4 linked regions of the Lepisosteus oculatus genome follow. The protein of the gene in region 3 purifies or fractionates together with the protein of the main gene of each other region. This does not show direct contact. Links are inferred from orthologs where the notes say so. Each region holds a gene or a part of one and is shown on either strand. Other genes may lie near its edges. The genes, in order: npm3, rpl8, ncl and mybbp1a.

Region 1 (7,566 bases), on a different chromosome or scaffold from region 3:
ACTATGTGACAGTTTTAGTAAAAATGTTATATTGTACTGGCTTTGGTTAAAAGCTTTGATTTGTGTAGGCTGAAATTTTAGGAATGTCTATCAAGTGTCTTTCATCTGTCAGGGTGGTCGCACCTAAGTCACTCCTACTTATCACATAAACAAGGTTTGGAGTAAGACAGATATTGCAAACTATTTTCTTGGTCTTGTAATTATAAAATTACAGATGAAGTTCAGGGAGTTTAAATGAGACTGAAAAAACGTAAATTTTTGAAACTGAAAAGTCAATTCTGCATTAATTACATAGCAATTATAGGGTTAATGATGGCTCAGAAATCTGCGCTGAAATTTTAACAGCATAATTTTTTGGTGCTGACTGAAATGCCTTTTCTCTTCACAGGGTCCCATGGTGCCTTTTGTGAAGTGAGGCAAAACGATAAAAGAATGTTGGACTTCTACAGCAAATTGGGCTGCTTTGAAGTTGCAAAAATGGAGGGATTCCCAAAAGATGTGATTATTATGGGAAGGAGCCTGTGAACCCCAGCTGAATGTGAAGTAAATGAATATTGCAATGAAAACTGTACAAAGCTTCATTGTGAATAGGCCTACATGTTTGCCACAAAAACCACAAAAGGCATAAAAAGGTGTACATATATAGTACCACTACTATCAATAGGTGCAAGTTAGTGTTTTTAAAATCTGCCCTTAATTACAAAATGCATTTGTTAAATTGAAACTCCTCCTTTATTTGGGCTTTCCTGCAGTGCCAATTAGGGACATCTGTGCTTTGATTTGAAAGCAAGGTGCTACCACTGTCTCCACTGTTGTAATTTAAACATGTAAGCTTGACTGTGTGAAGGGTTTAGGCCTTTCTGAGTACTCATCTCCTTTTCATCTGCAGCAGCTGGCTTTGGAAGTGTCATCTTGTCTAACCTTCCTGAAATTGCTCTATAACATTTTAATGTTATTTTCTCTTAGTATTTTATGTGGAGGGGCACACGAGTTAAAGGCCTCTAGTGCTAGCAGAAGACCTTGAGATGATACACCTGGGAGCCTTCTGTGTAGTTGTGCACATGACTGATCTTGCCTGGCTTGGTAATTCTCAGTTTGAACACTGTGAGCTGAGCAATGTGGCTACACAAAGAAGTGAAAAATTTATGGTCGCTGGTACCTTTCTTCAGTTCCATGAGTGTTGCGCATCTTTGTGAATACATATGTAGCCCTTAAGCACAAGAAACTGAGCAGCAGCAGCTGCAGGAGAACATGGGTAAGACAGCAAAATGTTCTGGTGCTTTCACTTCCTGATGCCTTGAAGTGTGGTCCATCCTCAGAATCAGTAGTGACTTGTTAAAGAGAAAAGCATGTACTGCTTATGGAATGTAAACGATTTATACTATTGTGAGGTGAGTTTTGGTTGTGCTCAGTAAGTGATAGGGTTTACATTAAAAATGCATAAGATTGAATCAATCACTAAACATCTGTTCTGCTATTCTAGAATGACTTAGGCTGTTTTTCTATCTTACATCATGTTATTATTTGGAATTTGTATGTGTATATGAATGTACATAGTATGTATTTTTGATGGACACTTGCTGCAGAGAACCTTCAGAAGAAGGTTTCATTGTTATGTACTAAATTACAAATACAATGTGCAAATCCTTTACATCTAATAAATAATACAGATGAAGTGTGAAATGTGGTTCCTTGCTTCTAAGTTGTACAGAATGTTATATTTTTATTTTAAGTAAATGACCTGTCCCTCCAGTTGGGCCTGGGGCTTTGTAAAGACTTGAGAAGATCTAAAGATACCGTGGCTGAAGCTGACGTCTGTGACTTCTCTGTAGAGTAATTTATTTCAACTTCATCCTTGTGCCCCAGTACATGATGGCTATAATTAAAATCAATATCCACAAGAGAAAGCAAAGGATTATATTTTTTTATATCAAACTTAACTGCCAGTTAACACACTCATACTCATAGCCTACTAAGGCTTTTAAATATTTTGGTGGCACGAACTGTCGTAATATAGCATGCTTTTGTGCCTGATGTACGCTGATGCAACTTCATGCATTACTGCTTACTTGCAGAGGGGTGTTCACGGAGACTATCCCTGTTGCAAGTATATGCTTGTCTTTTACACAAAAGTGTAGTGATTTAAGGTATTAGTTAAGACCGTATTTGGTGAATGCTACTTTTAGGAATTAAGTGAGCTCTTTATGTAACTTTTCATGATATAAGGTTGATAAGTCCAGAAGAGCACTTACAGAAACAGAGCAGAGCTATTGTCTTGAGAGGGATTTGTTCTTCCTGCATATTTGAGGAAAATTAAATGTTGCAGAATTATCTTAGAAATTGTAATCCGTATACTTTTTCCACCATTTGAAATCTAGTGCAGTGAATTCAGACAATGTATTTGAGGAGGGATTATTCCTGCTATAAGGATGTCACTGATTTTCTCCATATCATTGTGGATTGGGATGACTTCAATTTTATACCCACCTTGAAAGCTTAAGAAAGGCATATTTTTCTGAGTTGAATTGAAGAAAATGCAATTATTTCTGCTTTCTTCCCGGAATTATGTACTGAAATTACATTACTTTTCTTTTTATGTAAAAAAAAACAATTATACATTTCAGGGTTTCTTTTATGTATGTTGACTACATGGTTGTAATCTAGTTTTATTATAGTGCTCACTTGTGTTTCATTACCTGATTAAACCATTAAGTGAAGACTGTATCACGAGGCATGGCCTTGTTCTTGATTTGCTAAACCTAAAGAAAATTCAGTAACACGTTTTTCACTGATGATCTCCTAAAGGGTACGGCCGATATGCTCTTAGGGGTAATCTTACACAGCGTAAGTTAAACTAGTGAACCATGTTTTAATTCTTAATGTGATCACCTAATGTAATTTCAATAAAAATATTTAATTTGAACCACCTCTACATCTCACCCATCCAATTGTCCAACTAACATGATTTAGATCAACCAGAATATAATTTGGCCATTCAATCAAAAATGTGCATTTTTTTCCTAAATGAACTGTTATATACAATGTGAGCCCCTAGCTTAGTGTTTGCCACACAAGATCTAATGTGTCCCAACAGTTATTGTAATGTCATAGTTTATCTCATTGTCGAGATGAAAACATTTCTTACATATACCTCTTCTGAGCTTAAAAAGTACTCATTCTTATTAAAGATTTGGCAGAGCAGTACCTTACCTATTACTGATTGTTACCTCAGTGTTGCCAGTTAGGTTGAAGCAGGATTGTCGTAGATTGTTGTACAATTATCATGGTGTAAGTACTAGAAGACTCTTTCACTGATCATATCTGTACTGAATAATGTTCATTCTGATGTGTTTTTCAGGTTTTTTATGGCATATTTCCCAGAACTAAATTGGAAGTATATTCTGTAGCACTACATTTTTAAAAAAAGGAACAATTTGGCTTCTAGAGTAAAATCATTTGCTCTGTCAACATGTTTGTTAAAGAGTGTATATGATTTATGTAATATTTGTATTTACTTATCATAGTTGGATTGAAATTAATTTAAATAGTTTAATGTTTGCACTAAGCTGTGAATCCCTTTACACTCTGCATTTTAATTCAACTTTTAAATGTCTAGTTTCTCCTGCAACCTAAGAGTTTGTAGTTTTCCTTTCTTAAATAGAAAGCAAAGGGGCACAAGGTCTTGACTTAAATCAAAGGAAATATTTCCTGTTTTATGCTGTGAGTAAGGAAGATGTGCCTTTTGCTTGGTATTAGTCAGAACTGATGGGCTGCCAAGAAGCTGCAACTTCTCCTTAATATAGCAAGACTCCAAGGAGGATGAATGCCTAACATGGTGCACCTCTAGATAATGTCCTTGGAGTGCAGATGGGGTGTCTTACCACTCCCATATCTGGGCCGGTCAGCACACACGAACCCCACTAGTTACCATTACTAGCAAGTGTGGGAAATGAACGCTCACTACAAACCTGTCCATGTAAACTCGACCCTGTGCCAGTCGCACGCCATTAGCTCTCCTTTCTGAAATGGACAAGAGCATCAAGGCAGTGATAATACGGGATTCAATTTTCAACTTGTTCAACAAAAGCGACCGTGGATCTGTTCCGTGCCTGCTGGTGGTACACAGAGCTTCAGGGCACTGCGACGAACCTACATTTTCAATTAACCTTTTTCAGTGTGAAAATGACCGGTTTTTGTCGGTTGACGATGAAACAAAAAACGCTTTTTTTCAGTTGTTGGAAGGACACGCACAACGTATTCTGGAAGCATTAGTCGATGTCTGTGCAGACGTTTCTGAGCTCAAGTGTTGTGCAAGTCTTTTACAGTTCGTGTACAAGAATAGCATGCAAACGTACGTCGTCGTGATTGTCTTTAGGGGGAAAACACAGTTACTGTGTTGATGGTAAGAATTAAACAGATTTAGCCCTGCTCTTAATCATGGTAAAAAAAAACTTGCAAATTCCGATTGCTGGAACCTTTAAGAAAGAGTACCAGCGCTCCAGCAGGCACCTTATGTAAGACGTGTGTAGCATGCGGGAAAGTTAATTTTGTGACACTCCTCGTCCTCGCTTTCCGCATGTTGATGACATACACTGTTCTGCGACACTGTGTTTGGTGTCGGCGTCCAACGGTAGATGTGGCTGAACTCGGAGACAGTTTTGTATATATTTATCTGATTGGAAGCCGTTCCGCTTAGAAATGTCGTTTGTGGACGAGGAGTGCTCGGAGAGCTGTAGCAGCGCCGGAGGTCGAGCTCGGATGGAGAGTTTCTTCTTCAGTGAGTGTTGTTGGTAAAAAAAAAAACGTGCTCAGTGCGCCAGCGAATTTGGCACACGTGGGGCGATGTGCCTATTAACCCAAGATACCACTGGAGTACAGCTCAGTTCAATACTAGTCAATGGATTCATTAGCTATTCCAAAATTATGTTTTTTCTCTTGCTCATTGTTTCTCTTGTGATAACGATTCTGCCCTCCGTAGCGTTGTCAGTGGTAATTACTTCTTACGAATATAGCATCATCGGGGGGAAAAAATGTTAATCAAAGATACCGTTTCCAAGCGAGATTAAAAACTCTGTTCTGTTTTTGTGCCGTGAAAACGCGCACACTGCACATAAGACTTGAGTCGAGAGCCACATGTTTGTTCGCCTCTCCATGTGGTGCAGTCGGGCTGAGCAGCTCCTTGACTTTAGTTTGCTTTGCTTGATTTGCCTTTCAGAGCGTTTTGATTTTTGTATATATACATGACTCGTAATCTGACGTTGTTATGTTTGTACTCATCTTTGGTGTTATTATTCCTGCGTATTTAAGAAAATAAAGGGTTCAAACAGTACTAGACGATCGACCCCTCGTGACTGTGAGATTCCCTGAATATCTCCAGGAAACTCTTGGTCGATTAGTTTCAGGCTGATGCGTCTCGCCGCGTAAAATGCCACCTGTACTCTGTTTAAATGTTCTTTTCCATTTGTATCCAAGTGTTCCCTAGTTGCAGGAGAAACCAGTAAAGCTCTTTGAAAAAGAATCATCTTTGGTGGACAGTAACAACATTATTGCATTCATCTTTGGTGGACAGTAACAACATTATTGCATCTCCAGGTTGTGAACTGTCGTCCAAAGCCCCTTTTTACACATTCCAGGGTGATGAAGAGGAGGATCTGGAGCAGTTCCTGGAGTTGCGCACAGTAAGTGGTTTTCCTCCCGGCCCTTCAATGTCTTAAAAGTTTCTGAGAACACCTTCCTCCCATGACAGTCAGTGAGCACCAAAAAGGACATTAAAAAGGATTTATCTCTCAAAATGTTAATTGACAAAGTGCTCTAATTGCAGAAGGCCGGGTTGGTTTTATTCGTAGGGAAAATGGCAAGGAGAGTTTTTTGGAGAAGATAATAATTCCTTATACTTATGTAGCACTTTTCTGGACACTCGCCTCAAAGCACTTCACAGGTAATGGGGACTCCCGTCTACCACCACCAATGTCCAGCACCACCTAGATGATGCGACAGCAGCCATGGTGCACCAGTACGCTCCCACACAAAGGAAAAGAGTCACATCAGTGAATGCAACTGAGTTATTTCCTTTAGTGTTCTCTAATGCAAAGTTATCCATTGCTATCTTTTATATAGGACTCAAAAGGCCAGTGGTTTCCTTCAGGGGTTACTGCATTGATGCAAGAGGGTCTCCATCATGCTGTTTAGATTGAAGTGATTATCACTAGAAAGAAGTGAACCTTCGTTGTGATTCTCAGTGACGGGTCTGGCAAAGAGATGTTTGACCTTTTCATTGTGGATCAAGGCCAGCTGGGCCCCCCGCCCCCCTCCCTGCTGCCCTCAGGCTCAGGTCTCTCTTTCCGCAGGTGTGCCTGGGCGATGGAGCCAAGGAGGAGAGCAATGTAGTGGAAGTGACGGCCCTGAACCACCATGGCAAGAGGGTGTCGGTGCCCGTGGCCAACTTGCACCTCTCTTGCCTGCCCATGGTGAGAACATGAGACAGGTCACAAATCAGAGGGGGCCATTTGGCCAATCAGGCCTGTTTGGTAGTTAGTAGTTAATTGGTCCCAGGATCTGGTTAGAAACTAGGGTATTGGCTTCAACAACAAGTACCACGCTCCCACCACCCTTTGTGTAAAGACGTATCTCCTATTTTCGTGTTTAAACGCACTCCCCTGTAGGTTGCACTTGTTCCCTCCGTTAAGAACGTAAGAAAAGGGCTGTGGCGATCACTCACGGCCTTCACTGGGGCTGGAATTGTGTCCTAAACCTAGTTCACAAGGGTAACGGACTTCTTAACCCTTTCCTAAACTGCAGTTATTTTTTGCATTTAGATGGCTGATTTAGAATTGCCCTGCTAGTTACTAAGCAGATACTTCAGAACTCCAAACATTATGGCTAGAATTAATCTTAGTGCCACTAGCCATTGTTGGAGGGAATGCGGGGAGAGTATAGCTACATATTTGCATGTCTTCTGGCATTGCCCTAAATTAGAAATTTACTGGCAATTGGTTTATCATGCTATAAATAACATTATAGACATAGATTTGCCAAAAGACACTGTAATGTCAATACTAGGGGTGAAACCAGAGGTTATTCATACAACAAAGCAGGCTTACTTGCTACAGATTGTACTAGAAGCTGCAAAAAAGGCAGTCACACTAAATTGCCTTAAAAAGAACCCTCCAACCTATGGGCAGTGGTTGTAATAAAATAGATTTATCTGATGGAAAGGATTACCTTTTTATTGAGATTGCAGATGAGTAATTTTACTGAAAAATGGAAGTCAACTATAGACAAGGTAGCGGGACCATGGGACAAATTAGTATAACTTAAATCTCGATGGAGAATAGCAGTAGTAACCACAGGTATCAGAACAGTTCTTCCCCCAAGTTAATAGAAATATGAAAGTAATTATGGAAAAGTAAGACTCCGGTAGATCACAGCAATATTATCAAGCTCACCTATTTATCTTGTATGTTTTTTTTTTTGTTTTTCTTGGTAGGTTTGTTTGTAATATCATTGAAATGAATGGTGATCAATTATATCATTGGTATTTCTAGTGAAAATGTACATACATGAGAA
Region 2 (7,376 bases), on a different chromosome or scaffold from region 3:
CGGTCGCGCTGGTCTTACCAACAATAGCTCTGTTGGCCGAGGAGATGACCTTCTTGGATCCGGAGGGAAGCTTCACTCGGGATTTCTTTGTTTCGGGGTTGTGGGAGATGACAGTGGCGTAGTTTCCAGAAGCACGGGCTAGCTTGCCACGGTCACCTGGCTTCTCTTCCAGGCAGCACACAATGGTACCCTCGGGCATGGTGCCCACTGGGAGCACATTCCCAATGTTGAGCTGAGCTGAGAACCGCAGGGAAAGGGCACGTTATTCGAAGCGAACGCTTTGCGGCTGCACCGTTTGAAATGGCGAAATGTGCCGCAGCCCCGCTGGACCTCACCCTTCTTCCCGCAGTAGATGAACTGGCCGGTGTGGATGCCCTCGGCTGCCACAAAGAGCTCCATCCTCTTCTTGAACCGGTAAGGGTCCCGGAAGACCACCTTGGCCAAGGGGGCCCCACGGCCGGGATCATGAATGATATCCTGGGAGAGAAAAGAGAACACACCACTCTGACGAGGCCGCCACCTGCAATCTTGAAGACCCTCCACTACCGAACCTGCATCTCGAGGGCACATGTGCCGACATTAGGCAGCCAACTAATGAAATGAACTGATTGCCTATTTTTTATGGAATCATAAAGCATAATTACTGAAGAACAATCCTTATTCACCCCCATAAGCATTCAGTAGAATACCTGAATACATCCTGACTGTCTTCTAAAAACCATGCAACTACAATACCCTTGCAGGATGCTGTAGGCCTCCAACGCTATTTGAAATGAATTCTGTTTGGCAAGCTGCGAGTCTGCTTGGAAAGAAAAACTTTCACCACTTCTGATATTAAACTTGGACTGCTGGAGTCCTGGAGAAAGTGACCAAGTCTAGCCACATTTGTCTCCCTTAGGACTTGACATTACTTAGAACGCCAATAAACAAACTGTACAAAACAATTTAGCACAACGCTACCTGAACTCTTATCACTAAAACCCCTGAATCCAATGAAATGTTTGAAAACAGGTGGAGGTTTTGTGTACAGGTGGATGCTGTACATTGGTGGTGGTGGAGTCCCCATTACCTGTAAAGCGCTTTGAGTGGATTGTCCAGAAAAGCGCTATATAAGTGTGAGCCATTATTATAATTATTATTATTAAAACCATGGATGGTTCCACAGTGGTAGTGTGACACTAGTCCACTGTGAAATCCATACCTCAGAAGTGAAGTGGGTCCACTGCTATATACATATATAAGGGACCCACTTCATAGATATATTTAAAAATAAAATTCCCATTGGCCCTTACCAGTCATGGCCTCCTAATAATCCCCATCTATGAATTGGCTTTATTACTCTGCTCTCCTCCCCACTGATAGCTGGTGTGTGGTGAGCGTTCTGGCGCACTATGGCTACCGTTGCATCATCCAGGTGGATGCTGCACATTGGTGGTATTATTAAAGTGGCTTGAGATTATCTGAAGCTAGAAAGTGTACAGTTCCTCCCCAAACTCCTCACCTTCACAATCCCCTTGATGTAGCCATGACGCTCAGCAAAGTCAATGGATCGGAGCTTTGCTGCACCCTTCCTGTGCTTGACGTGAGCTTTGAAGACCGACCCAGCACCCTTCCTCTGGCCTCTGATGACGCGACCCATTGTGCCCTGGACGCAGGAAGAAGAGCAACAGAACCGAATGACAAAGATGCCCAAGCTTGACCCGTTTTGCCTTCTAGTGGTTTTCCTTGGTGATCAGAACGGCGGCAGGCCCAGAACACCTGGGACTGTTACTGAGCAAAAAAACACCTTTTGTTTGGCATCGGGATCTATTAGAAAGATTAAAGGTCTACTGCACCTTGGCTGTAAAAGCTGACAGTAACACTGTATAAACAAAGTCACAAAACAATGCACAAGTGAGCAAGAGAGGGCATGATACTGATGCATTTCAAAACAGCCAGATCAGGCCAACATAAAGTCAAAATAAGGTGTTTATGGCAAAACATGAAGGTACAGATGGACCAATATGGACTGCAATCTCTTCTAGCAGTGCTGGTAGGACTGGCTACCATGGGCCCGAATTCAAGGAGGCCTTCCAATCCGCGGAGACCACAACATTCATTGAACAGAAAAACATTTGCCAGAAATAAAACTCCAGATTTGATGCGTCTGCAGGCCTGAGGGTTCAGGGCAGGAGATGATCAAGGAGGACAAGCAGAGGTACTGCATGTCAATATGAAATCGTTTAAACTGCATGGGGGCATGGGGGGTTAGGAGGGTCACTTTGAAAGAGTTTATATGATCCCCTATGAAATTCAAAATCTTTATTGCGAACTACGACTTCATAAGGCCACGGCATTTTTGCAGCTCGAGAAACGCACTTTCACTCAATTAAAAGTAGGAGAGCACATGAAACCGCTTGACGCCCATGCTGCAATCCTGAGTAATTAGTTTCATTACTAATTATACAATAATCACTGTTGAGCTCGGGACACGGCTACCGTGAATTTCCACAGAATATTCACGAGGCACTTGTTTCTCAATGACCACCCCACTTTTGTTGCGACTTGATTCACATTCTCCCAGTCACAGCATAACCCTAAAGATCCCGGCGTCTGAGATAAAGTGGACTCCTGTCACAAAAAATATTAAAGCTGCAGTGGTGTAAATACGGCCTCTTGTAATGCTTTAATGTAACAGTTAAAACCTATCCCAGACACGCGTCTATTTCCAGACATTTACAGGACAAGCAGACTGTTTCATCGGTTAGGGCCAATACTGAACACATCATACAAAAAAACGTTAAGATACAGCCTTAGGCACAACTTGCAGTCGTATACCAAATATACAGGTTTTATTAGTAGTATAAACGTAGAAAACTAGAGCGGATGAGTAAAAAATAAAGAGATTAAAGTCGGATTTAATGTGAAGAAAGAGGCCGCCATTCCCTACCTAGACCTGGGTTGTCGACGAAAAGGAAGTCCAAGGCCGGCGCAACGCATTTCTTCCGGGTATATTCGCTCCCGTGGAACAGGATATCATTAAAACGAGCCGAAAATAATTCAAATTAACACGAATCGCAGATATCTGTACTATATAAAATATTTTTAATCAAGAAGTATAAAATACTACAAAGCAAGTAACACGGATATTTTAAGTACTACCTATGCGTAGCATCATGGGATATGTAGTTCACACATCTGCAAGACTGCTGAACTGAGCCTTTCAGACACACACGTTTTAATTATGTTGCGGTAATACATCAACAAAACAATTTTTTAACTGTCGCAGAACATTTGCAGATACAGGATATTTGGAACATATTATGTAGGTCATTAGAAAATATCCGCTTTAAACCAATTAATCACTTTTGTATTCATATTCACATAAATATATTTTACTACTAACGTGAGCCTGCAAATGACAGAAATACGTCAATCGAATTTACATCGTGCGCTTTGTATTGTACTTTATTTAAAATGTTTTTTTCTAACAAATATCCTCGAATCTGAGTTATCATTCATTTATCTGACTAAAAACGTTAATCGGCAATAGCTATAATGTATCTGAATTGAAAGAGTTTTGCAATGTTTTATGAAGAATCGCAATAATGCCAGTTTTCTTCAGATCATATCGATAATGCTGATCATCTGGCTGAAACAGTGAAGAGCTTAGTTGTATGATTTAATTGATGAGTGCAACAAAAAAACAACAACACAGACTTAAAGATGTGATCAGTAATTATAGGAGTTGATTAAGTTTAGGTTAAAAACATTCAAAACAGTCGCCCTGTCCATAGCCTCACCAGGATTGGTCTGGCAGTTGATTAGTTAACCTGGCCAGTGTTAGTTTACATTCGGAACATAAGAAAATGACAAGTTTCTCATTTACGTAAATTAACATAAATACACTAGATAATTTTTCAGACCAAAGTGGATGTTAATCGATTTTGTATCCTGCCCTTATGGTTGTGCGTTATTTAAAAAGTTCTACCGGTTTTTTATACAAAATGAATTGTATATGCAAGGCTTTTGCACCTTAAGTGCTTCAAAATATGAAACACATCCAGGTGCTGCCGTTCTGTAGATTTTATAAACCATAGTTAAATGGCCAATAAGCAGAGATGTTGAGAGCAACTAATTAAACAACTGACTGATCCAATTAATTCGTTCCAAGCTCTTCCGAAAAAATACTAAGCATGGCTCTTCCGGACCAGAGCTGAAGAAAACTGCCCTAGTCTATTTTGATTAATGGAAAACAGAAAGGACTGAGCAAAATTTGCACTGCATTGTGTAATACTTCATCCAAGAAATGAGAGGAGGCAATTTGGCCAATCCAGCCTGTCTGGTACTTATTAGTTAATTGATCCAAGGATCTCATCCAGCTGTTTCTTGAAAGATGCTGGGTATTTATGTCAATTACATAAGATAAGATCACTTTATTGGCCATATACAATTGCTTGTATTAGGAATTTGTCCTTTTTCACATAACCCAACTTACTCTCCATGTGACACATACAGGGAGAGAAGCTTGGTGTCAGAGCATAGGGTCAGCAATTTATATGGCGCCCCTGGAGCAGTTGGGGTTAAGGGCCTTGTTCATGGGCCCAACGGAGTAGGATTCCTTTGCCGGCTGCAGGATACAAACCAGCAACCTTCCAGCCAAAGGAGAAGAGCCTTAGCCACAGAGCCACTGCATCATCTGAGTGAGAAACTTGTTCCATACTCCCACAACTCTTTGTGGAAAGAAACACTTTCTGTTCCCAGTTTTGAATTTAGTTTGAGTTACTAATGTATAACCAAACTGTACAGTATCTTCGAACCTGAGTTGTTTTGCCTTGAACAATTTATATTCTTTAAAAAAATCTCTCACAACAACAGTCATTGTAATACTAATGACAAAAAAGATGAATAATCAGTTTGCTGTACTTTTGTTTTATTTGGACCTGTCCACGACACAAGTGTCTCGTTCCCATCTTGAAGGGAAGCCAAGTAGCACCAGGACAAGCTTGGTCCTGCTGGGATGCGGTCATGTCAGGATGAGCCGGCAGAAACGGAGGTTTTGATCAATGCTGCCCTGTCTGTTAACGTGACCATTAATCACTACACGATTACAGTGGATGTTTTTTTTGGACAGTTTTGTTTTGCTTGTTGGGGATCCACGTCATTGTCTGGGGTCCATGTGCCCGTTCCATCTTTCTGTGTGGGGTTACACACCTGGCTGACCTTGGCAGGAGGAGAAATTAGGGTACTTAACCCCACACTCACGGGGCAGCCAATGAGTATTGTCTTAAACTTTGTGGTATAACCTTGATTGTGTTCTTACACGGCTGGGTTTGAAACTGCTGCTAAGGAGAGTGTAAATGAGGCAGCTTTCTAAGGGTTTGTCGGATTGCAAGAAATCCCAGCGCGGTTGAGTGTAGTTCTGACATAGGTTTATGACAAAAGTCGCTCCAGAGAGCTGAGAGAAGAGACACCATCATCCTTTCCTTCCTTCAGATCTAAAGCTCAGGCATTTCTAGGTGCCTTTTACACCCTAGACAGAGCTTGAAGGCTTCCTTTGTTACCATAAAAGTCATGTGAGGAACAGAGACGTATTTGGAAAGAATGTATATGGAACGTCCAGCAGGGAAAGTAGATAGGTGGTCTCCAGAAGTACTATCACACAACCCTCACAGACTTCTGTACTACTAGACCACATGACAGGCATCCTGCTTTTAAACATGTGTAAAGACCAGGGTTTGACAGGTCTGTATTGCAAATACAAGAGATTCATGACATTAACACACAGGCATTGCATGACAAAAACAAGAAGGGGAAACCAAAAATATTCAGGTATTATAAATATACTCTACACATTAGTTTCCTCTTCAGTTTCTCTCTCAACTGATTTCTACACATATAAAGCGTTGTAGTTCTGGATATTTTCACCTCATGTGAACTGCGTTCATTATCCTGAAATCTCTAGTCTACTACTGCTTGCTTGGATGAATCAACATTCAATAAACTCTTAAAAGGTCACGTAATTTAATTAACAATATAAATGAAGACGACTGAACTAGTGAATAACTACTCAGAGTGTGGTATCAGTGACCTTATCTGTGCCTGAATATCCTGCACCATTCTGTTCGTAACTGAATTATACACCTACAGAAGAGTTCCAGTGAGGTTACACATTTTAATAATGTATGCTCATTCATTTTTAAAAGCCTGCCAAGTCACAGAGAAACAGTTCTGAAATACCTTAACACAGCAGCTGTGAAGCCAGGTCTTGGTACAGGTTCTGTGCTAATTGCTTCCACATTTAATGTGCCACACATGCGTATGACTGACTCGAAGTCTACAGATAAGCTGGTCATGCAAATCATTGCTCAGGTCCCAAGGTTAGCCTTATCAGGCCTCTCCTGTGCAAGGTGTAGCAGAGTACTAAACTAGGCATCTGACTGTCAATTCAGTGTACAATACTTCAGTTACATCAGCTCCTCATGAACCCATTTGTTTCTATTGCAGATCATTTTCAACATTTTCCTGGGCATCCTAAGTAAACCACCCATGGCCCCATTTACTTTCAGTCTTTGTCCTTTTTAGCTCAGACTTTCCCAGTGTAGGGAAAAAAAAACAACAACTTTGCATGGTTATTGAGCTGCAGCATCTGGCACCAGGGTCAAAATCATGCACAGAACATGCAGTGTAAAGACTACAGTATAATTACTTCTCAACACGTCGTGGCAAGTCAATACTCAAGTCTTGTGAAGATTTATCTGACATCTGTATTGTAATATTTATAGCCTAACACGTTTAATGATTTGTCCAGGCTATTCAAACAGGAAGCTGAATGCTTCAGTTTATGTTAGGGTTAAAATTCTAGAAAAAACATGCATAAGCAAAGATGTATTTACACGCAATACAGAGGTTGCTAAAATATGTCGCGTGCATATATGTCCTGGGTTGGGAGGGTGAAGAGAGAGGCTCTTGTCCCAGCTGGCTGCAGTATGGCCTGTTGTGATGCACTGTTTTTGGACATGTCCATTGTAGCAGCTCCTCAACGACCGATTCTGTACCCAGCGTTCTTACAGCCCCAGGCTATAGGAATACAGCAATAGGAAAGGGCTGTAGGCTACGACAGCACTCAACATCTTTAGTCCTGGAGAGCCCCACGCCTGCAGATTTCACTCACCCTGGAACAATTTAACGCTAATCAACATTAAACAGAAGGTGTGTTCAATGAAGAAATGCGAGAGGTCGTTTGGAACGACAATCAGAATATCTTTCTGCCTTCACGAATCAGTGTTTCCTGCTTTGCAACACTACTTGCCGAATTGAGCAACTGCTTGAATGAGTTATTCCAAATCTTTAAATAACAGGTGATTAGGGTGACCAGTAAGAAAAATAAAGTGGAT
Region 3 (7,830 bases):
TGCTAATTCACCCTAACTTGTTACATCAGTTCATGTCCAGACCAGAGGTCATTGGAAATTCGGGTCTCATCTTAATTTTCAGACCATTTTAGGAAGGACACTTGTTATTAAAAATATGAATGTAGCATAGAAAAGACATCTTTATAACTGTATGTAAATGTAGAGCAGGAAACTTGAATAAATTTCGTTATTAAGAAAAATCCTGCTGCAAACAGGATGCACCCTTTGAGACAATAATTTTCTCAAATACACTAGATTGAACTGAAACTTATACATTGAAATACAGTTATTTGAAGAACCCGACAAATACTGCGAAGGTAAGGATCATGGGGCGCTAAACTAGTGTAGCTTGTGAAACACTGCTGCCCTCTTGTGGTATTAAGCTGTAATAGACGTGCAATTAGTCTCTAAAGAACAGCAACGGAAACACTACCTCTCATATTGTTCTTGGAAGAAATCACAATAATACAAACAGGATATCTTTCCAAACCTTTTTGAGACAAATAAAAAAGTTTGTAATCTTCAAGACAACATTTCATAATGTCTGGATAATTTCCCCACAACAAAGTTTTGGGTATATAAGCTGATGCCAGCAGCCATACCACCCTGCAACTCAAACTGGCAACCCCCTGAAGCTCAGCAGGTGTGAGCCTGGTCAGTACCTGGATGTGAGACCTCCTGGGAAAAACTAAGGTTGCTGCTGGAAGAGGTGTTAGTGGGGCCAGCAGGGGGCGCTCACCCTGCAGTCCACGTGGGTCCTAATGCCCCAGTATAGTGACAGGGACACTATACTGTAAACAGGCCCCGTCCATTGGATGAGATGTAAAACTGAGGTGCTGACTCTCTGTGGTCATTAAAAATCCCAGGGCGTTTCTCGAAAAGAGTAGGGGTGTAACCCTGATGTCCTGGCCAAATTTCCCATTGGCCCTTACCAATAATCCCCCTCTATGAATTGGCTCCTCCCCACTGACAGCATCATCCAGGTGGGGACTACACATTGGTGGTGGTGGAGGGGAGTCCCCATTACCTGTAAAGTGCTTTGAGTGGAGTGCCCAGAAAAGAACTATATAAGTGTAAGCAATTATTATTAGATTTTTTAAACTCTAATAATTTTTAGGTTTTTGTGTTTAGTTGATATGAAAAGCTCATAAAAACAATTAAATAATTTCACCGCAGAGCAAGTTGGATCTATCTCTCTCACCACGTACAACCTGATGTATTTGTTTGATATGTCCAGTGGATGTTTAAATGTGCTGCTTTAATGGAAACTGTCCATGCATCTAGATGCAAAGAGCTAAATACACGATTAACTCAATTTTCACTTTAAAAACAAAAAGTGCCTGGAAATATACTGTATCCCAACAGAATGGATTAGTTTAAATGTACTTTCACAAAAAGTTCTTACTTGAACTTCAGTCTAAATTGAAAATCTTGGGGGTGATATGTGATTCAGGCTTGACATTTGACCCACATGTGCAATATATTGTCAAAACATCCTTCTTTTTCCTCTAAAATATCACCAGACTACATCCTATGTTATCACTTACTGTAGCTGAAAAGCTGATCAACACGTTTGTCTTCTCCTGAATTGACTACTGTAATGCTCTACTCGCTGGGGTTTCTAAATCCACATTGACCAGGTCCAATGACTCCTATCCTGGAGTCCTTGCACTGGCTTCCTGTCAAGTTTCGAGTCGACATCAAAATACTCATGCTCACCTGTAAGGCTCTGCATGGCTTGGTACCTCAGTACCTGTCTGAGCTATTATCGCCCTACTCCCCACCTCGCAACCTTCACTCTTCTAATTCTGGTCTCCTAACTGTCCCCCAAGCCCGTCTACACTCTATGGGTGACAGGGCCTTCTCCTGTTCTAACCCCAAGCTCTAGAATTCTATCCCCAAGAATATGAGAGTCACCTTCTCTAAACTCCTTCAAATCCAAACTCAAAACGTTCTTCTTTAGAAGTGCCTTTACTTTACTTAACTGTTTCTGTTCTTTACCCCTCTGCTCCTACTGTATTCAATATCCACCATCTACTGGCTCCTCTCATTGTGCATTTCTTGTGTACTTTTTATTGTTGTTGTCGTTCTGAAAAGCGGTTTGAGAAGTCATCTTTAAAGGCGCTATATAAAATAGTTTTTTATTAAAAAAATAAACAGTCGTCAATTAGCGCCACCTGGTGGTCTCTTGAGAGATGTTAAATTTGCTTCTAACCGTTGAGCCCAGTACATCAGACCAAGCTCATTGAGCAGAATTACATACATTACTCCAACATAGTACCGCAACCGTTGGAGGAATCTGAAGACCACCTAGACATAATCAAACACCAAATTCTTCGTACAGGATTAATATAAACAAAACGCCATGATTTAATAATGATACACTATTTAACCTTAAAATAAGCGAAAGCGGCTTCTCAACCAGGAATTCACAGCGTGACTCTCCTTTGAAGGAGAAGGTGACAACTAAAAATCCTTGCTGACTAACACTTCCTACATAACAGCCGCTGGGTTATTTCTCCCCCGCAGATAGCGATTCAGGCATTTAGGACTGGGGAGGTTTACCAATAGCGCAAGGTTTGTACACCTCTACACCGTTTCCTCGCCACATTCAAATCGTCCAACCAAATCTCGCTCTTTCAAGGTCCCGCGAACGTCATGACGAAGATATCAAACTCTCGCGATATTTCATGTCAAGGCTTTTGGTAGGGAGTTTCGATATCCCTTCTTATATTACACGTTTTCACACCCGGAAAGGTAACAGGGCAGCCATATTGCTGCGGTATGATTTCGCTTAGAGAGTTACAGTAGGTAACATGACCAAAACGCTGATGGCCTTACATTATGCATTATATATTCAGTCAAAAGCAGTAAATGCAAACAAGTTCATTTTGTACGTCTGAACATTTGACATTGGTTTTACACATTACCGTCACTAAAGTGCCTGCCTAACGTTATGTAGCTTGTGCTATCCCTCTTGTGGGTCTTACCCAGGTACAATTAAGCTAAATGTAAATCGAGGACCGTGAGCATTTCAATTTGTATCTAAGCTGATATTCTGTTTACGTCAATACTTTTCCAAATCTTCAAAATGCATCTGTCCAAACGTCACCTTTAGATACTATTTACTTTTAATGTATTAATTTCTACTACATTTTTTTATCGACCTTATCTTTTATTCTCCCAAGTATACCTTACACGTGTTCTAATCCATTAAGTGGACCTACTGTTCCGGTTATCATTTCGATTGTTTGAATTTAAGTACATTGGTAATTCAAGAACCATTAGCGATTTAAACGAAGGGCCTTTCTTCGGGGTGTAACAGCAGCGTAAACCAAGGATTTGAAACCAGAACTCTCAAATCCACAGCGATCATTACCGCCAGCAATTTCTGCCCTGTTGCAGTCATTTTTACACACAAAAAGACGTGGTCACAATGACAGATGATGGAGGTCCAGTTATTTTGACTTGGTGATTTAATGTAGGACTGTGAGAAACTTTTTTTTCCCCTCAAAATTCAGATTTTCGTGTTACCAAGACCACATAAATTACCCGATCGATCTGTAGCTATCCATGACTCAAAACTCTCTGCTCATATATATTCTTCTTGTATTTCATGCATTGATTCATTTGTGTATATAAAAGTGGGTATTGTTTTATTTAGCAGATCACCGTGCACGTTAATTCGATTCTACATTACAAGGCTAAACTGTATTCTATAAGACTGTCTTATATTTATCGTCATTATTTTTTGACGTTAGACCTTAAGGTAGATATAAAAATAACAAGGAGAATGCCCTGAATCTCGGTGAGCATCCCCTCCTCGTGTTGAATGAGTTTTTTTTTTCCTGGAAGAAAAACAACTGAATAGTAATATCGTGAAACTATATAATTCATGTGCATTAAATTGTAACCACTGTATTTTAATTTTTCGCCCTCCTTCTTCCATTACCCCGCATTAAAACTCGTTGTTTTCCAATACCAGACATTTCACAAAATCAAAACATTTCAATCACTTTAGAACATTTCACTAATACAATACCTTCGGGAAAAGAAAACTTTACAAGCCGTACTGTACTTCTGAAGCTCAAGGCTCCCTGTTTTGTGCAGCCATGCTACCCTCTGTCCGTGATCGATTTAAAATGGGTGTATTTTGAAACACGTGGTGGCCAAACACTAGAAGCACATGGGACGCCACTGTTTCACTCCCATTGGGTGTCTGTAAATGGGATTTGCTTGCGGGTGGATATTATGTATTTACTGAAAAGAATAGCCGTTCCTATGTATGTTACACTTTGCGTTTTTACTTTGTGTTTTTGAAGTATCACTAAAAACTTGTTAGAGCTCATGTGCACTTTAAAGTCACATGGGTGGCCGGCACTTTAGGTTTAATGGGCTGTGAACGGAACTCGAGATACCGGTACAATCCACCGAGAAGTCCAGTACACAAAAAAAGTTAATATTTTAACAGGTTTTATCGTATTTAAATTGGAAGTTTTTTTCTCATTCATAGTTTCAACTAAATGCCAAATGGTTCGATGAAATTGAAGCTTAAAAATATGTTTCTTTATTTAAAAAAAACAAACAAATTATATCAATCCAGACACGAGTATACACCTATACAAATTTCACACTAAAAATACATATTACGAATACTGTGCAGTACTAACTAAATCCACTCTCGTCTCTTCAGGGCTCGGACAAGCGCGTTCACGAAAACCCCAGAAGCCGAGCGCGATGCAAATTCCTGCGACCCGATTGGCCAAGAAATAACACGTGGGCGTGGAAGGTGGAACGCGCACAACAGTAAAGCACCTCGCGCTTCTTCCTGCGAGTCCGTCTTTCTCGTCTCAGCGCCTCACCGAAGAGCAGGGTTAGGCCACGTGTGGAGCAGTGATTAAAACTTGCATTAGCTTTTTCGTTTTCCCGATCGATCTTAGTCGAGTAAACAACCCCGCAGACAGTCAAGATGGTGAAACTGGCGAAGGTAAGATGTGATTTTCATCGCCGATTTCAAAATATAAAGTTCGAGGCGATGGGTTTGATGTACAAAATGGCACTGGAGATGTGAGATTTTGTTCCTTTCGGTTTGCCTTGCCCGAGCATTTTTTTGCAGCGGATGAATGTTTTTTTTTATGATTATGCGGGTGCAGTCGTGTTTTGGGGGTAACGTAGGGGGTTATTAGTTTCCGGATGAAAGACGGAGCACAATGGAAGTGCGTTTTGGTGCCTGTTCAAGCCGACCCAGATTTCGAGTAATCAGCCATGTTTTTCTGCGTGGTGAACTCTTGTTTCTCAAAATGGCCATGCCTGCGCATTCGCCTGCGAGCGCGGAAGCTGTTTTTTTGGTTTATCGCCTTACTTGATTACATTTGGGTCTTGTTTGAAGCAGTAACTCCTCTTAAATGTAAAATATAACTCCTAGCAGCGTGAGCGCTTTGCAATTTTGGTAAAAAAAGGAACTTTCCAATTTGGTTGCGCTTTTATATTATGATGTGGGGAAAGAAACAGACGACTGTTTCTTAATTGCTTTATTTCTGGTAATGATTAGAACCGTGATCGTGCTATATGTAGTTTTTCCATTTATGTTTATTTCGGGTTTGTATTAGCTGGATATAGTTACATATGACTAGGCCTCGCGGAGCACCACGTGGGTTTTCAGCGTGGAGCCATCACGCAGTCACCACGACGTGTGTCCGTCGAGCGGTTTAGACATTAGTAGTTGGACATTGCAGGCTGTGTGCTGAACATTACCTTTTTTATTTTTAACTATTTTGAGAAATTTAGATTCTAAACATGCTAGCAAAATAGTGTCTTAGAGAGGGAGCACGCTGTGGAGGGGACATGGCGGCGGTGGTTTGTACTACACAAGCGTAGTTTTTTTTTTCCGGTGACCCGACCATTTTCCGTATACAAGTACACAATTATTTCGATGTACAAACGGTTACAATATTTTTTGACACCCCAAGGCGATAAACAGTTTTTTTGCGGCCTATGAATAAACAGCGGATACCCCGCTGGGTAGTCATGCTTCATATGAAGTGGGTTTTTTTTTCTTATTTTAGGCAGCGAAAAAACCGACAACTACCCCTAAGAAAAAGGCCCCACCGCCCCCTAAAGACGTGGACTCCAATGAAGAAGAGGACAGCAGTGAAGAGGAAAACGAAGAGGTAAGAGCGACAGAGACTCGCCGCAACACGTGGGCTGAGGGTCGCGCTGTGTCAGCGTGGAGCCAAACCGGAGGTCGTGTCCTACACGTGCTTGTGCGATTCGGGCCCTCTTGTTTTGGAGTTGGTGGTTTCGCTGGAAGGTGTAAGGTCTCTTTGGACAGTGACCCGTGTCCTAAAACGGGGTTCGACTGGGAAACCCAATACCGGTTTAACAAAGGGCATTTCTTTGTGCAGAAAGGGGAATCATGTTTTTTTTTTTTCCTTTCGGCTTCAGGTACCTCCCCCAAAAGCCAGCGCCAAGAAGGCAGCCACGCCAGCTAAAGTAACGAAAGCCGCCAAAAATGGCAAAGTGGCACAGAAGCAGGAAAGTGATGAAGACGATGGTAAGTGATGAAACGCGTCTGGGAGCCTTCATCTTTCACTCCATGCATGTTATAGGGTGAAGTGGAAGTGCAAAGATCTGGACAGAGGCTGTTGCATTTGTTGTCAACCACCAGGTTTCTAAAAATGGTGTCAACCATGTCGGAAATAACCAAAAGCCAGTGTTTGGCAGGATTTAGTTCTTAACCTACAAGATGCTAGCTGCAGTGAGTGTTAATTAAGGAATTGGAAATGCCCAAATCTTAAATCAGCATTTAGATGCCAGCAATACACTTATCACTATTATACGAAGCGTAGTTAATATTTTGAAGTGTTGTGTGGAGTATAAAGATGGTTCCACTCAGTTGTTCCTTCTTTGTAGAGGCTTAGGAAGCTGATATACTTGCCTTTGTTGAGCCAGAAGGACAATATATTTTGAACCCCACTGCTCTGAGGTTTGCATTGGGGGGGAGGTATTCCCTTTTAGTTCAAAATGTTTTTTTTTTCTGAACGGGGGAATTTCAGCTGTGATATTCCCCTGTATTTGGTCCTGAGTACAGTATGCTGGATTAACTCTTGCGTAATGTGATGCTCTTCAGAGGAAGATGCCCCCCCAGTCCCCGCCAAGGGCAAGGCCGCCAAGGGCAAGGCGGCGCCCCTGAAAAAAGCCGCCAAAGCTAAGAAACAGGAATCGGAGGAGGAGGATGACGATGGTATGATCAGTCACGGTGACTTTCTAGCTGTCAATAACATCCCAGCAATAGTCTTAAGAGGGCAAGGGTGGCTCGCCAGTGTTTGGCAAGGAGCTGGGGAGAGGAAGTTAGATCTCTGGGTTCATGGTTTTAGATCCTGGATGGAGCACTGCTGTTGGACCCTTCGGTAGAGATGAGCAATATAAATGTTGTCCAGGTGGCATTTGTCCCCAGGAAGGGCCTTTTTGGGCTGGTTGCTGGCTAGGCCTCCACCCCTCTTCAGACCTTGACTTGGGGCTCGCTGACATCCCTGCCGGGGCCCTGATCTTAAACCTGCTCGGGCCGGTCCGAAGCCCGGGAGACTCCTAACCTGTTCTGTTGTCGCAGATGACGAGTCGGAGGAAGAAGCCCCCCCACCCAAGAAGGCCACCCCAGCAAAAGCCACCCCTGCCAAAAAGGCCGCCCCCGCCAAGAAGCAGGAGTCCGAGGAGGAGGAGGACGATGATGAAGATGGTGAGTGACGGTGCAGTGATTCAGGGAGGGGGTTTAATAGCCTGGGGTGGTCTTGAGTTTCCAAGGCACTTGAGTGTGTAGGGAAAAATGGCCTC
Region 4 (7,005 bases), on a different chromosome or scaffold from region 3:
GTGGGAATGTAGGAGTGCTTATATGCCCGAGTGCGAATCGTGACAGGCCCACCTACCCATTATTTTGGCTACAATGGTTAGAACAAGAGATCTCAGTGACTGTGAGAGAGGGGCTGATTGTTGGGGCATGTTTAGCAGGGGCTTCAATGCTGAACATGCTGATGTTTCATGAGAAACAGTGGTTGAGGTGATGTTGGCATGGGAGTCTGAGGTAAAGGTGTCATAAACGAGTGGTGTGAGACTGTATGGTCTGTCGAACTTCACAGAGAAAGGATGCAATGTTTGGGATGCAGTGCAAAAACCACATTGTGCCTAAAATTGAAAATGGGCAGTGGTCTACTGAGCAGTGGAAAAAGTCATAAGGGCAGATTAATTTTTCTTCACCCTGATCTCAACAAGTGGATGAGTACATGTTGGGCACACCAAAATCCGACTACAGGCTCAAGCACTTGTTTCCCCACGGTGAAGGGGGCACAGTTTAGGTCCACTTAACCCCTTAGAGGGCAAGGAAGCCATCCTGATCGATCAGTCCACTGCTGAAGCATTTCTATCCTGATGGGAGTGGACACTTCCAGGATGACCACGCTCCAATCCCTGGGGCTTGGGTGGTCACTGAAGGGTTTGATGTGCATGAAAATGCTGCACTCTGTATGCCATGGCCATCCCAGTCACTAGATCTCATGGAGAGGAGCTTGAGACACCATTTTCCCCACCACCATCAACAAAACATCAAATGATCTAATTTCTCATGGAAGAATGTCCCAGACACTTGTAGAATCTATGCCAAGGAACATTAAAGCTGCTCTGGTGGTTAATGGAGGCCCAGAGCCATGTTAAGATGCTCATGTTGGCGTTTCCTTTATTTTGGCAAATTGTATATACTGTAGAATTCTAACAGACTGAAATCAAGACATATTTTATTTTACCTTTATTTACACGTAGCAAAAAATCACCAATCTGAAAACCAAACACTCTACTTTGGAAAAGTAATTCCATTTAGAAAAATGAGTTGGATAAGTGAACACGCCCCTGAGTTAGTACTTGGTGGCAGCACCATTTGCTTGAGTTACAGTCATATCATTCTGTTCTGGATAGGTCTGTACCAACGTCTGCCCATTCCTCCTTACAGGACTGTTCCAGCTCAGTCCAACTGAGAGGACACTGCTGATGGACTGAACCTCTAAGTCATTCCACAGATTTTTAATTGGATTAGGTCAGGGTCTCTGACTCAACCACTCAAGGATGTTCAGGATGTTTAGGCAAGGCTAATCTTTTATAAGATCATGATGATTGTTTCCCAGTCCCTGGGTACTACTCCTGTCTTAAGTGACTGTTGGAAGAGTTGCATCAATGGCTTCTGAATAATACATGTATTGTACTCAAGGAAACAAGATCTACAACAGAACAGTTGTTAAAAAGGTGAAGACCAGTCAAGAAAGTTTATTTGTGGATTAACACAGTGATATGTACTTGGACACTGCTCTTTTACATTAAATTTGGAGAAATAGCAAACAATGTGGAAGAAGCAAATATAATTTAAAGAGCTTTAGATACCTGTAGACAATGTACTACTGTAATGCCACTAGGGGGTGTCATCCCTGAGGCACAGTACAGACTTTATAGACTCCTTTGCATGCATAAAGATGGCCACATGAGAATGCCAGCACCTAAAATGGTGACACAGCCTATACAAGTTGCCTATACAAGGTAATCAAGTTACTATACAGCCTATACAAGATAATCAAGTAGCTAGCAGGCACACCTGCTGTAAAGGATGGCTTGCAGACGATAGGTCAATATGATACAACTGCTTTGCTTTGCTAGATGTTAACACCTATTTATATAATCCTGAGGTAGAATTGAACTATGAGATGACCTGAAGCTAAGTGAATGAATGGTATTAAATGAGGTAAAAGTGCCCTGTATCAAAGGCTGTCCTGTATTATAACTGTTGTGCTATTTCAAAACAGGTAAAAAAAACACTGCTATAGCTGAAGCCTGGGGGGAAAAAATGTTTATGGACAGACCAAGAAGGAAGACAGTGAACACAAGACCCGAGGTTAACCAACAGAGTTGTACAAAAGGTTAAAAAGAAAACAAAAGGAGAATAAATGGAAAACAGATCACAGGCAGGAGGTCACAGAGTAAAATGCAGACTTGGCAAAGCCAGTTTAGATTGTGATCTTGGAGAGATTTTTTGTTATAATTTAAATGAAAGAAGGCATTGAAGAAAGAATCTAAAATCCTATATATATATATTGCAACAAAGCATTTAAGTGATAAAGCAAATATGTGTATCACCAGCTGGGAAAACCATATCAGTATCTAAAAGAGACACAAAGCACAGCTGCAAGGTACAGACCGAACACTCTTTATTTATAGCACTGAAAATCTCACAAAATCCTGAGCTCCTCAATAGTCCCTCACTAACAAAACCAGGCAACTAAGCTCCTTACCAGTTTCCAAAACCATTTCGGCTAAACTCTTCACTAAAGCTCAGTCTCCCTCTGAGACACTTCATAAAAGTCACATTCAAAGTTACTCACTGTTTCAGCATTTTGGTCAGATGCTCCTTCTACAGCTGGTCATTCCACACACAAACTCCATGTTTTCCAGAAAGCAGGCAAGGTTGACCTAGCAAGCTTCCTGTTTTTGAAAGTGTCATCTGACCAATTTGTCTTCCAGCACCTGTGAGCCAGACAAGGGCCTCCATCTTGTCTGAACCTGTTGTACTATCAAAGGCATCATGCAGTAGAGGTGCTTGTACTCACAGCTCCACAGTTCCCAATAGGCTCCCAGTCCCTTATAAGATGCAAAACTCTTCCAATGCTCCTTGAGAGAAGCAGAATTAAAGAATACATTAAAGGGTCCATAAAAACGAAGGTAGGAATCCATACTGAAGCGATAAATAATGACACCTTTCCCAGTAACACGTTTGGCCCTGCTGCTTTAATGAGGGAAAAGACTGAAGCCCAAGTCACTGACTGACGTTTAATGGAAAGAGAAATCAGAGTAAGAGATTGAGCCATTAATGTGAGGGACTTGAAATTCTGCGGAGCTGAACCATTAATTGTGTATTGTAAAAGCATTTTGGAGAGAGAAATCGGCATTGGTTGCATTTAACGTCAACCAGACAACTCTGATAATTCATTATGAAGCTACATCTAGGTGTTTTTGTTCATGGAATATTATTTTAGATAAGAGCATCAGAAAGGCAACAGATAAGAGAAAGCCATCGAGCTCAGCTTTCTTTTTCCACCAAGGAAGGGTGTTCCAGAAGCCCACCACTGTCATCAGCCACTGTGAGAAGCCCAGTATTTCCTATTATTATATATTAACAGTTTTTGTTTTGCTGCCTACACTTGTCTACATTAAATGCCACCTGTGAATGTTTGCCCAGTCTTTTTTTTTCCCCATTGTGCAGTATTAGTTTGTTTCCCTGCGTTGGAATTGCTGTGGTTTACCTAGGGGTGTACGGATGGTACTGTGGGGAGTGTAGTGTAGTAAAATATTTTGAAAATAGCAGATCAGAATGGCAAGTCAGCTTTCTCGAATGCTTTCTTAACATAATTAGCCTTGTAAAAATTTAAATTCATTAACTAAATAGTGGGGAAAGTAGAGTGAGCACTAGTGTAAAGACTCTGGATTATTTAAAACATAAAAATAATCAAACCTAATGACGAACCCTATATTCTCCACAGAATTAGGCATTGGGAACTGTAACATTCCAAAGCTATTATAAGCAGCTCTCTAGAAAGGCAACTCACATATATCATACCCATATATCATACTTAAAAGATCCTTTCCACGGTAGAAAATGTGAACTTCACTTTTGCACTAACTATACCAAAATCTCAGTGACTGATAAAAAGCAAATGTTATATCTTTCATGAATGGAAAAACAATGTACGAGGTACCAAACCTTAAAATTCTGGAACCCTTATTCTGTGGATTAATTTAACACGAACCTTCCAGCCTGCTGCACGCTGAGCGATCTTCCGATTGACCGGAACACGTGGGTTCCTGCTACAATGCGATCGTTGCTGTAACACGTTTTCTGCTGAAGTGCTGCCGATATTGATATTTACATGGCAGCAGCGGTTGCTAGCATGGGGGAGATAGAAACCGAGCCGGTGCGGCCCAAAGTGACTGATGCCAAAGGAATCCTCCAGCAGAATCGAGAGTTCCTTGATTTTTTTTGGGATATCGTGAAACCGGAGCAAGAAATACGATTAAAAGCCATCGAAGATCTGATCTGCTATCTGAAAAACAGCGAGAAGGTAGGACTGTAATGATTATTTACGTACATTGCTATAATAGGTTTCCTGGGTTTTTGATAGAATTAGGGATATATTTAGGGGGCAAATACAAATTAATTTTAAAACAAAATGTTCAACGAGACTTTTCAGGAGTTTTGTGCATACACAAGACTTTCCAGACTTGGTTTAACCACGTGGGTTTTGGTGACACTCATGGGCTTCCTTTGGCTCTTGATAAAACGTCTTTTTAGGACCTGCTATAAGGACCTTAAAATGTAGTAGTTATGCTAAGCGAATCAGCAGCGTGTTCTTAAAAGTTTGCCCAGAATCTCAGTTGTTAAAAGAAAGGTGATTTTTATTTTGTTGTTTTTGATTACTTGTCAATGCTGCGAGACATTTGATATGTCTTTGCTTTGTGTGCATTTTATTTTTGTGCATTTTTAATAATGTTACGCAAGGTTTAACATACGTTTTCAGCAGTTTTATCATTTCGATATTTTTTTCAATTCATGTTTTTATTTCTGTGTTTGGTTAGGAATTTTGTTTATTCCTCTTGCATTCTTATTATTTGATAAACAACGAGCTTTTATTAAGAAGCTTGTCGAGGACTGTATTTGCAATGAATAAATAATTGACTCGCCTAACCCAGTGAGTAACGTTGGTTAGCTATGCATTTTCATTGCAGGAATGTTAAAGAGCTGATGGGGAATGATTTAGTTTGATGCCTTTGATGTCAAATTAACTTTGTACAGTTTTATACAGCTTGGAATGGTCTTGAATGAACTTTGCTTAATGGTATAAGAGCACTATCTCACCCAGGGCGTGAACTCACAATTATTCAGGTACAAGTCTAGAGGTCTGACCACTCCTGCACACTTCAGTGGTAGTGTTTTATTTAGGCAGCATTGCTATTGTGGAGGAGTGGTGAGGAGGTGTTTGTGGTTCAGATCCTAGTGGGACACAGCAGTTGTACCATTTAGCATAGTGCATCCCTCAGATTTCTCTATTAAATTGCCAAGTTCTTTACATTTGGACAAAAGTGTCAACCAAATAAAACACATTATTCTTCCTTTTTATAGTTTGACCCTGTAGGTCTTCCCATGCGGAAATAATTAGGTACTTGTTTTTTACATCTGGGTGATCTGTGCCCCACAAAGGGTCTCTGGGTGTGAGTGTGATGGGCTAATCTTCTCTTCCCTCTTTTGCTCTCCCTCCCAGCCGGATGAGCTGAAATACACCCTGAAGCGACTGGTGGACGGGCTGTCCCACACTAGAGAGACTGCGCGGCCTGGCTTCAGCTTGGCTCTGGCCCAGGTCAGTGTCCTCCACAGCTGTCTCTGAGTGTGTGTCAGGAAATGAAGAATCACAGCTTAAACATCGTGTTAGAACCTGTTAGTAGGTAAAAAACAAGTAACACGAGCAGTGCTTCTTACTGCCAAGTTAAAGAAGTTGTCCAGCACTGAACAACATAAGGATGATTACTTAGGAGAGGAAGCTATTCTACCCCATTTGCTAGGAGTATGATCCAAGGATCCCATCCAGCTGTTTCTTAAAGGATGCCAAAGGATCACCTTCACATGGCTGGGCAACCTGTTCCATAACTCTTAAGAGTAAAGACCTGTTTCCTTTTTTCTCTGTTTTAAATATGCTTCGACCTAATTTTCACTGGTATCCTATGGGTTACGTTACAAATACAAGTAAAACAGACTAGAAAATAATCACGCTTGTTACAGGATAATTATACATGACTTAGAGTTCGAGAATTTCCAGCCCGAATGCTCGGCCACCTGAATTCTTTCTCTGCACCCTGAAGATGTTTTTTTGTCCTGCAGCAGAAGGCTGTGAGAGTGTCTGAGCTGTATGGAACTCAAATGCATTTGCATTACAGTTACATTGAAATGCAACTTGTGTTTTTCAACAGCCGGGTTCACTGTGATGATTGTGTTGTACTCTTTCATAGTAACCCAGACATAAACATATGGTGTTTATTGCAGGTCCTGCAGGTGTTTGAGGAGATCCCACTGCAGACAACACTGGACCATATTAAGGAAAAGAACAACCTGGAGACAGTGAAGAAGGTCAGGAAACAGTCTTTCCACACTCCCGACTGGATACCTAGAGCTCCCAAGTACCACATTCTTGCCATGGAGTCCTCTCCTGTCCATGGTCTCCTGATCTGATGTAGATGGTCTTCCTAGCCATGGAGATGTCTGGAAAGTTTGTGGAAAAATTACATTAAACTCTAAAGTATTGGGACAGAAATGTCAACTAAATACTGAAGAAAAGGTCTAATTAAATACTGACGGTCTTAATGTGGAAAGCGATGAAGATGGCTACGTGTTCTCAGAACGGGTTTTAGTAATTAGTAAACCTTCTGCCAGCTTCTGAAAATTAGGACGTTTTATTGGATTTTAAGACTTGGGAAACGGGTAGATCCAGCTCTGTTGCCTTGGTTATTTCTCTGATGGCCTCACCTGATTTTTATTATTCCTCAGAAACTCAGAAGAAATGCTGCATTTGGGAATTTCTTCGGAGTGTTGGCTTTGTCCCAGTCGGGACGCCTCCCTAAGGTAACTTAAGTTTTGGAAAACGCTGTTGTTGAGGGCTGTGTATTCAGCTCACTAGAGATTGAGCTCATGGGGGAGTGAGGTAGTTTCCCAGTTTAATACACAAATGTCTCAGGCCTGCCTGTGTGTTGCTGACAGGAGCCCAAAGTGGTCCTGGAGTGTGTGAAGCTGCTGCAGAG

Evidence for each region.
Region 1: the proteins of ncl (region 3) and npm3 fractionate together in Homo sapiens (co-fractionation; 4 studies listed by BioGRID and IntAct, with this or other methods). This does not show direct contact. The link is inferred for Lepisosteus oculatus from reciprocal best matches to the Homo sapiens genes NCL and NPM3.
Region 2: the proteins of ncl (region 3) and rpl8 purify together in Homo sapiens (affinity purification with mass spectrometry; 3 studies listed by BioGRID and IntAct, with this or other methods). This does not show direct contact. The link is inferred for Lepisosteus oculatus from reciprocal best matches to the Homo sapiens genes NCL and RPL8.
Region 4: the proteins of ncl (region 3) and mybbp1a purify together in Homo sapiens (affinity purification with mass spectrometry; 3 studies listed by BioGRID and IntAct, with this or other methods). This does not show direct contact. The link is inferred for Lepisosteus oculatus from reciprocal best matches to the Homo sapiens genes NCL and MYBBP1A.

What each region holds. Positions count from the first base shown.
Region 1 is NC_090699.1:45,170,095-45,177,660, forward strand, and holds the start of npm3 (nucleoplasmin-3), read left to right. Parts: upstream 1-4,561; 5' UTR 4,562-4,698; coding exon 4,699-4,777; intron 4,778-5,592; coding exon 5,593-5,678; intron 5,679-6,347; coding exon 6,348-6,467; intron 6,468-7,566. Other genes in the region: oga (protein O-GlcNAcase), read left to right, coding at 389-525. UniProt on the Homo sapiens protein: Plays a role in the regulation of diverse cellular processes such as ribosome biogenesis, chromatin remodeling or protein chaperoning. Modulates the histone chaperone function and the RNA-binding activity of nucleolar phosphoprotein B23/NPM.
Region 2 is NC_090710.1:4,226,543-4,233,918, forward strand, and holds the start of rpl8 (large ribosomal subunit protein uL2), read right to left. Parts: upstream 3,017-7,376; 5' UTR 2,930-3,016; intron 1,646-2,929; 5' UTR 1,640-1,645; coding exon 1,502-1,639; intron 478-1,501; coding exon 336-477; intron 238-335; coding exon 19-237; intron 1-18. UniProt on the Homo sapiens protein: Component of the large ribosomal subunit. The ribosome is a large ribonucleoprotein complex responsible for the synthesis of proteins in the cell.
Region 3 is NC_090708.1:8,866,446-8,874,275, forward strand, and holds the start of ncl (nucleolin), read left to right. Parts: upstream 1-4,821; 5' UTR 4,822-4,969; coding exon 4,970-4,987; intron 4,988-6,065; coding exon 6,066-6,170; intron 6,171-6,444; coding exon 6,445-6,553; intron 6,554-7,129; coding exon 7,130-7,243; intron 7,244-7,609; coding exon 7,610-7,735; intron 7,736-7,830. UniProt on the Homo sapiens protein: Nucleolin is the major nucleolar protein of growing eukaryotic cells. It is found associated with intranucleolar chromatin and pre-ribosomal particles. It induces chromatin decondensation by binding to histone H1.
Region 4 is NC_090721.1:11,357,273-11,364,277, reverse strand, and holds the start of mybbp1a (myb-binding protein 1A-like protein), read left to right. Parts: upstream 1-4,003; 5' UTR 4,004-4,088; coding exon 4,089-4,280; intron 4,281-5,477; coding exon 5,478-5,573; intron 5,574-6,253; coding exon 6,254-6,337; intron 6,338-6,754; coding exon 6,755-6,829; intron 6,830-6,964; coding exon 6,965-7,005. UniProt on the Homo sapiens protein: May activate or repress transcription via interactions with sequence specific DNA-binding proteins. Repression may be mediated at least in part by histone deacetylase activity (HDAC activity).